2 linked regions of the Saccharomyces cerevisiae S288C genome follow. Changing the gene in region 2 together with the main gene of any one other region gives a genetic interaction. Each region holds a gene or a part of one and is shown on either strand. Other genes may lie near its edges.

Evidence for each region. A genetic interaction does not mean that the proteins touch.
Region 1: mutations in MTC2 (region 2) and RCK1 together harm fitness more than expected from each alone (negative genetic interaction), as found in Saccharomyces cerevisiae (2 studies listed by BioGRID).

What each region holds. Positions count from the first base shown.
Region 1 is NC_001139.9:205,530-209,071, forward strand, and holds RCK1 (putative serine/threonine protein kinase RCK1), read left to right. Parts: upstream 1-1,503; coding exon 1,504-3,042; downstream 3,043-3,542. Other genes in the region: carbonyl reductase (NADPH-dependent) ARI1, read left to right, coding at 3,477-3,542.
Region 2 is NC_001143.9:254,662-258,895, forward strand, and holds MTC2 (Mtc2p), read left to right. Parts: upstream 1-2,108; coding exon 2,109-3,182; downstream 3,183-4,234. Other genes in the region: YPF1 (aspartic endopeptidase), read right to left, coding at 1-799; rRNA-processing protein UTP11, read right to left, coding at 1,059-1,811; YKL097C (uncharacterized protein), read right to left, coding at 3,842-4,234. UniProt on the Saccharomyces cerevisiae protein: May be involved in telomere capping.

The sequences.
Region 1 (3,542 bases), on a different chromosome or scaffold from region 2:
GCCGAGCGGTCTAAGGCGCCTGATTCAAGCAATATCTTGACCGCAGTTAACTGTGGGAATACTCAGGTATCGTAAGATGCAAGAGTTCGAATCTCTTAGCAACCATTATTTTTTATCTTTTTGGTTCTGTGATCAAGCTACCCGCGTTTGAAGCCGACTAAAGACGAGAAAAATTAGACCTTCATTTTTGCCTGTTTGCTGCATGTAAAAGAATGTTGGTTGAACATGTCGTTTAAGAGAAGAAATCGGGTACGGCGCTCTGGCTTTTAAAATTGAAGAAATTGGTGTTCTTCCGGTTAATACTTTGAACTCGGCTTTTCTTAACATGTAATAAAGTTTGTTACATCTCCCATAATTAAGTTTCTGGAACACGCATTGTTCTATTTTTAGACGGGAGACCAGAACTTCCTGATATATGACCGCTTTTTAGTGACTACGTATACTTTCTTTCTGCAATTACGTGTAAGAAAAAATTGATTTTTTATTTTTAAATTCACGGAATTTCAGACTGTGAAAACTTTGTAGTTCCAACTCACTTTGCTATGCAAGAAAATAATGAGGGGAAACAAAAAAAAAATGAGAGCGGAGAAAAGAACAATGCAGCTCAAGTATGAAGAAGAAAGTCACAGCAACGGAAATAAAAATCAAAATTGCGAAAATTGACAATCTTGACAATCGAAGCGGAAAAACAATGGAAGGTCCAGATACCTGTTGACCTTAAAAATGCAGAAAAATCGCCTTTATACGGCGACATTGTGAAAAATGACGTTAAAATCTTGTACATAAAAAAAGGGAATTACAAACTTGTAGTGTTTTTTTTTTTTAGGGGACTTGCATGAAAGTTAAATTTTATAGAAGTAATTAAATAGTCGATTTCCTTTCCTGTGTGTGACGAATCTAGATTTTTTTCATGTAAGAGACCCCGCCCTGCGGAGAGGGGCAAACAATTCTAGCAGAAAAAAATCAGTGGAAAAAAAAAAGAAATTCCGGATATGATAGAATATTTCTTCGAGAAACCTTTTGGATGAGGAGTGCCCTTCCATGAAGAAATTCTTCCTGCATCAGCACCTTCCCGGCAAGGCATTTCATTTTTTTTTTCCGAGAAGAAGATTTTTAAGTGGGCTACCCCACGCTTTCGGTGCCTATGGTAGCTGCATGATCACACAATGCACTCCCATTAAGAGTTTGTGAAGTGCATGAGATTGACATCTCGGCGTCCCTTAGTTTCCTGTCGGATTTTCAGTTATATGGAGTGGGTGAAGTCATTATCCGAATATTCGCGGATCATTGACGTATAAATACTTCATACTACTTCATACCAGATATTTCCTACATGTTGAAAGTCAATTGAAAAAAATAAATCATCACTTAACTCTTTTCCAGTGACACATCGCAAAGATTACTCAAATAATCTTCCTAAAACAATACTACCAGCATCTATTTCATGCAGCACCAAGCACAGAGGCTACATATCATATAAAATAAGTCATCATAGAGAAAAAAATGTCAGTAAACCCAGAATTTATAGCCGATGGCATCGATTTTTATCCAACAACGCCCGATGCCGCGTATTTCAATGCCGCTGATGGTAAAAATAAAGTTAACAGGATAAATGGTAACTCAGAAAATTTACACCACTCCTTTGCATCGGGTTGCCGTAGATCATCTCTTTCAGTCGACTTTAATGTTACCTCGTCCGATTCAGAAAAAAGTGAACAGAGCTGCTTGGAAAACAACTCTCAAGAAGACGAATATTTTTGTGACATTTTTTCCACTGAATTAAAATTAGATGAAACTTCTAACAAGTCAACCGATTATTCCAGTTCAAATCACCAGTATCCTGAACAACTGGAGTTGCACAATTATAAACTGCTCAATAAAATTGGTGAAGGGGCATTTTCCAGAGTATTTAAAGCAGTAGGCATCAACACGGATGACCAAGCTCCTGTTGCCATCAAAGCAATCATAAAGAAAGGCATTTCGAGCGATGCCATCTTAAAAGGGAATGATAGAATCCAAGGTTCCAGCAGAAAGAAAGTCTTAAACGAAGTTGCCATCCACAAACTGGTTTCGAAAAATAATCCGCATTGTACAAAATTTATCGCATTCCAGGAATCGGCGAACTACTATTACTTAGTGACGGAGTTAGTCACAGGTGGGGAAATATTTGATAGGATCGTCCAACTAACATGCTTTAGTGAAGACTTAGCTCGTCATGTCATTACTCAGGTAGCAATTGCAATTAAACATATGCACTACATGGGTATTGTGCATCGTGATGTCAAACCAGAAAACCTACTATTTGAACCTATCCCATTTTATGGCCTTGATGGGGACATGCAAAAAGAAGACGAGTTTACATTAGGTGTCGGCGGAGGCGGTATTGGTTTAGTGAAGCTAATGGACTTCGGACTAGCCAAGAAACTTCGGAACAATACCGCAAAAACTCCCTGCGGAACGATAGAATACGTCGCATCAGAAGTATTCACCTCCAAACGATATTCCATGAAAGTTGATATGTGGAGTATTGGCTGCGTACTATTCACGTTATTGTGTGGATATCCTCCGTTTTACGAAAAGAACGAAAAAACATTATTGAAGAAAATATCGAGAGGAGATTACGAATTCTTGGCGCCATGGTGGGACAACATAAGTTCTGGCGCTAAGAACGCAGTTACCCATCTTTTGGAGGTTGACCCAAACAAGAGATACGATATCGATGACTTCCTAAATGATCCTTGGTTAAATTCGTACGATTGTTTGAAGGATTCAAACTCAAATTCTTATGCCAGCGTGCAAAGCATACTAAATGATTCATTCGATGAGAGAGCAGAGACCCTACATTGTGCATTAAGCTGCCAATCTGAAAAACAAGATGACACCGAGTTTTCCAGAAGTGAAAGCTCGGAATACATATTTATGACGGAAGAAGACAGAAACCTACGGGGCAGTTGGATCGGTGAGCCAAAAGAGTGTTTTACCTTAGACCTTGCAACATCTTCTATATACCGAAGAAGGAAGAACAAGATATTCTTCTGGTAAACTCTTATCCAGTGGAAAACGCACCCAGCATATTCGAAAATATATCAACTGTCTCCCCTTTTTATACTAATAATTAATAGCATTCATATTGAAATAATAAAAAAGATACGTTTAATATTTACGCCAGCTCTCTAGTTACAGTTTCCTAACGCATACGTCATCAATTTGTTAAGATCGGCTTCGCTCTATAAAAATGTCGGCCGAAATTAGCATAGGATTTTCCGCGGTTCCGACCCCTATCCTAGAAACACGGAAAAACTTGCGAATAATTCCGGAATTTATTCTATGCAACTTTATGAAGACAAATTACTATAAATGAACCGCTCATTCAGAAAAACTATGTCTCGAGCTCAATGGATCTTACTACATAGTTTATAAAAACAGTAATTGTGCATTGTACAACTGTGCTAAACAGACTTAAAAAAGTAATAATTATGACTACTGATACCACTGTTTTCGTTTCTGGCGCAACCGGTTTCATTGCTCTACACATTATGAAC
Region 2 (4,234 bases):
TGTGAACAACTGAGTTGGTCAATCCATCTTTGTAATTCAAATTGGTAACAAACCCGCCTATCTTGTTCAGGTCTTCGTTATCATCAGCTATTGTTACACGATACCTTGGTAAAACAACCAGGGGATTCCAAGAAGCTAAATGTGATAGGTTTCTGAAAAGTGAGTTGAGAAAGTAGGAGTAGACAAATGTGCCAGCTGGGATATTTAGCAGTGTTATATTAAAATTCAAAATTTTCACCACATATTTTAGCCAGTTTAGGTGTAGTTTCTTGATCACAAAATAGAGAGCGAGTAAAGTACAGCCACTAGTTAAGGGCAGTATAATCGCATGTTTTTCATCCATCATATCGAAAAACCTCTTGCTTTTCTTCTTTTTCTTTTTATCTTCGTCATTCTCGCGGTAGATAACATGACAGTCGTGGTCCACATCAAAATCTGTAGGATCAAACAATGAGTGTTCTCTCGTAGGAGGTAGAGCTGTAAATGGAATAGAAGAAATAGACGTAAATGAGCCAATAACGACCAAAGCACTTGCGATGAGAACTAAAGTGGCGTAGTTGAATACTAAAGAATGGCTTTCCACCAAGTGTGTAATCTTGTGAGCAACGCGATATGATATCTTATCAAAGGCAGTGGTTAATTTGTTATTGTGGTTTTCAACTATAGCATTGATCTGTTCAAAAACTTGTTCTAATTCCTTGTTCGACGCACTTTGGTTAGCGCTTGATGAATTGTTCCTAAAGGCACGAGATGACCACTCTGAAAGGTGGTCAACAAATGAATTCAAATACTTGTCCATCGTGTATGAGTTTGTTCCCCATTATAGATCTGTAGTATTGCTCAAAAAGGGAGCACTTTACAAATCTTGTCCTAAATACTCCCATTCGGAGAGGGGTTCTTTTTTTTCCGGTGCCTCAAAATCCTTTTTTTTTTGATGGCGCAAAAGACACTTAAGAAAAGTGAATACTTTTTATAAACGTAATCCTATAAAACATGAAAAGAAGGATTACGGAACGTCTGCCTGATTCACTTATATATACTATATAGATGGTAAAAATCTAACGTTTCCGTTGTTTCTTCCATTTAAATGAAATTTTTCCTGAAGAGTCTACGATTTTTTTCTTGGAACCCTTCTTCAACAATTCTCTTTGAGCATCCATTCTTTGTTGGACCTGTTTCAATTGAGTTTCCCTCTGTAAGTGCTGCTTGACTTGCTTGAACTTTTTCAATTTCTTTTTGTCTAATGATTCCTTTGGCATTATTGATGAAGCGTTCCTATTGTTTGAAATATCTTGGGCTAATTGGTCCTTAGTTAATCTATTTTCAGATCTATTCACCATCTCGGAGGTGGTATTGAAAAACTTCTCTGGGGTGAATTCGTTCATCTTCTCTCGGGAATCGACGAATATTGTATGATTCCCACTGCTTTTGAACATCAACTGTTTCGCTCCTTTCTCCAGCTTTTTCAGCTCTATTTGCCTCAGCGTCCTCACATAATTACTATCTTGCGTTTTGAGTAATTTAACTTGATCCATGGAAAGCGATTCGTCTTCTTCGTCACCGTGACGTGAGCTGATCAGCAGTCCTTTTGCATCTGTCTTCCTTGAATGCATAGCATGGTAGTATTCATCTGGATTTCTCTCTTTTGCTTTTTCTCTGAGGACTTTCAAAGTGGACTGCTTCCTGTGGAAGTCTTGAGCACGTTTCACATAGTCTTTATGCTTTTCTAAAAACCCATATCTGGAACGGCTAGTTAGCTGAGAACGTTCTCTATGCTGCTTTTTCTGAACATCATGTACAAGTTTAGCCATATCTTTTGTCTGTTGTTGGCTGTAACGAACTAGAAAACCCCACTAGTATTATTCGATGATATGCAACTTGCTCTTATTGTAGTTTCTTAGCATTGTTTTCTTTACTCTTTTTCTTCAAATCGCGATGAGCTCATCTAGCCATAAAAAAATTTCATCTTTTACGTGCATAACGACAAACCTTTAAGCCTTAGAGGACTTGGTGATGTGCTCCTTTATAACAACGATTACTTCCATTGAACAGCAACACCTGCAAAATCGGAGCTGCAAAATTATTGATTGGATGTGGCAAAAATAGGAATGGGCGATCATAATCTGCCGGATTTTCAGACATGTTTGAAGTTTTCTGTTACAGCTAAAAAGAGCTTTCTATGTATGTATAGAGACAGCGTCTCAAAGGAAAAATTAGCCTCTTCGATGCCAAGTACTTGTGATATACAACTGAAGAGGGCAATCAATGACGCTTATCCGGGCGGAGGAATAAAGGTCACGGTTCTGAACTCAACAACTGCAAGCTTGGACTCGTTAGCAACTACACATGTTAAGGAATTTGAGATTGTTATCATTCCAGACATAAATTCTCTTTTACAGCCAGACCAAGCGAAATTAGTAAAAATTATGAGAGATTGCACAGTGGCGATTGAGAAGGCACAGTCAACACGTATATTTATAGGAGTGGTTCATTGGAATAATCCCGTGCAGCCTTCAGGCGCCGCTAAGGATGGGGATGAAGCAGGTAAACCAGCTCCCAAAACTCGCATCTTCCTGCCCACGTCTTTCCGTATGGGCGCTTGGCTCAAACACAAATTCTGGTTTGCATGTGCACCCCCATATTTGGATTTTGAAAGTTCAACTGAGTCTAGCATTAATACAAGAGCCAATAATAGCATTGGTATGGCTGAGGAAGAGAAGCAGGAGCCAGAGAGCAAGAGGTCGATCATATTAAATGAAGAGGCAAATCTGAACGATGTATTTGTGGGGTCCACTGTAAGACGGTATATTCTCGATATCATGGTCCATTTGCGAACGCATAGATTGACGTATAACGCCAAAGCCGGCGGGGTATATACAAATTCATTGGACGACGTGGTGTTATTGTCTAGATTAATTGGTCTACATAGCGGCAAGATGTTTGTGTCACCTTCACATGTCAAAGAGGCGTCCAGGTGGTACTTCCCCATGCACTTGGAATTGGTTCAGCGTTCCTCCATGGATAGTTCCTTATTGTACGGTAGCGACCCCAACTTGGTGGACGAAATGCTAGAGAAACTTGCGAAGATTAAGTGTGAGGAGGTTAATGAGTTTGAGAATCCCCTTTTCCTGGAATCTCTCGTAGTGAAAAACGTACTAAGTAAAGTCGTGCCGCCCGTGTAAGTTTATTATGTATTTCGAGCATGCATCTGGAACCTATGTTTACATACGTACAAACGGTATTTAAAAGTTTCTATTCTTAGCGTCAATTGCCCTTTATCGTTTTGTTAACCAATTGTTGTTTTTATTCATTATGCCATGACCCGAAAAATGAGCAAAATCGGTCAAAGTAAATAGCTAAATATTTGGTCTAAAAAGTAAGAGAGAAATGAAAATGGCAAGGCTTAACTACTTTGCAATAGTGTATATAGACATTACCAATTGAGTCCAGCAACGAAAGATTCCGCTTGCACTTGGTCAATCATTTACTGACCATAATACGAAGTAATAGAGATGCTACTAAAAGATGACCATGCGATTACAATTTACAATAGACAATTAAGCGCAAGGACAATCAGTATGCATTCCATTTCTAATAGACAAGGTGCTATGAGTGAATTGCTAGCCTCCCCTTTTTATTTTGTGCGGTCACCGCAAGGGACAAAGCTTTTCTTAGAAAACCGTCTGAGAAGCATAACGTACGCCATCCCCTAGACATATTAATAATGCTACAGATACTATGCTGCTCGTCTTTTTTTGACGACCCTTTTATTGCAATGTGCAACTAATGGCAAACAACCACATAGTATCACAGTATTACATTGCCTCCACCGATGCGGATGTTAGGGCGCCAAGTCTGTCATGAAGCATGTTCCTGTCATAATCTTGTATGCAAAATACCGCGTTCTGCGCCACTGATATGCTAGGCAGCAGCAACCTATGCAGAAGATTGCTTTTCCCACGCCTGTTTTACGTCTCCAGGGCACTTGAAACAATGCAGCGATCGCCGCCACAACACGCCAAAGAGAAGCGAAAGTGGGCCTGGGCGGCCTCAGTTTCGGCAGAGGTAAACAACACGAACTGAACTGCCTTAGCTCCGAAGGGCAATTCCACAGGCACTCCGCGGGGCCCGGCCAAGGCCCAAAAGGCGTGGAATATGCGCGTTTTGGGGCCATAACACCCAGTACCACGGCCGGAACGGGCCATATAATAAGTTTTTCACTCTCAAGAATGGT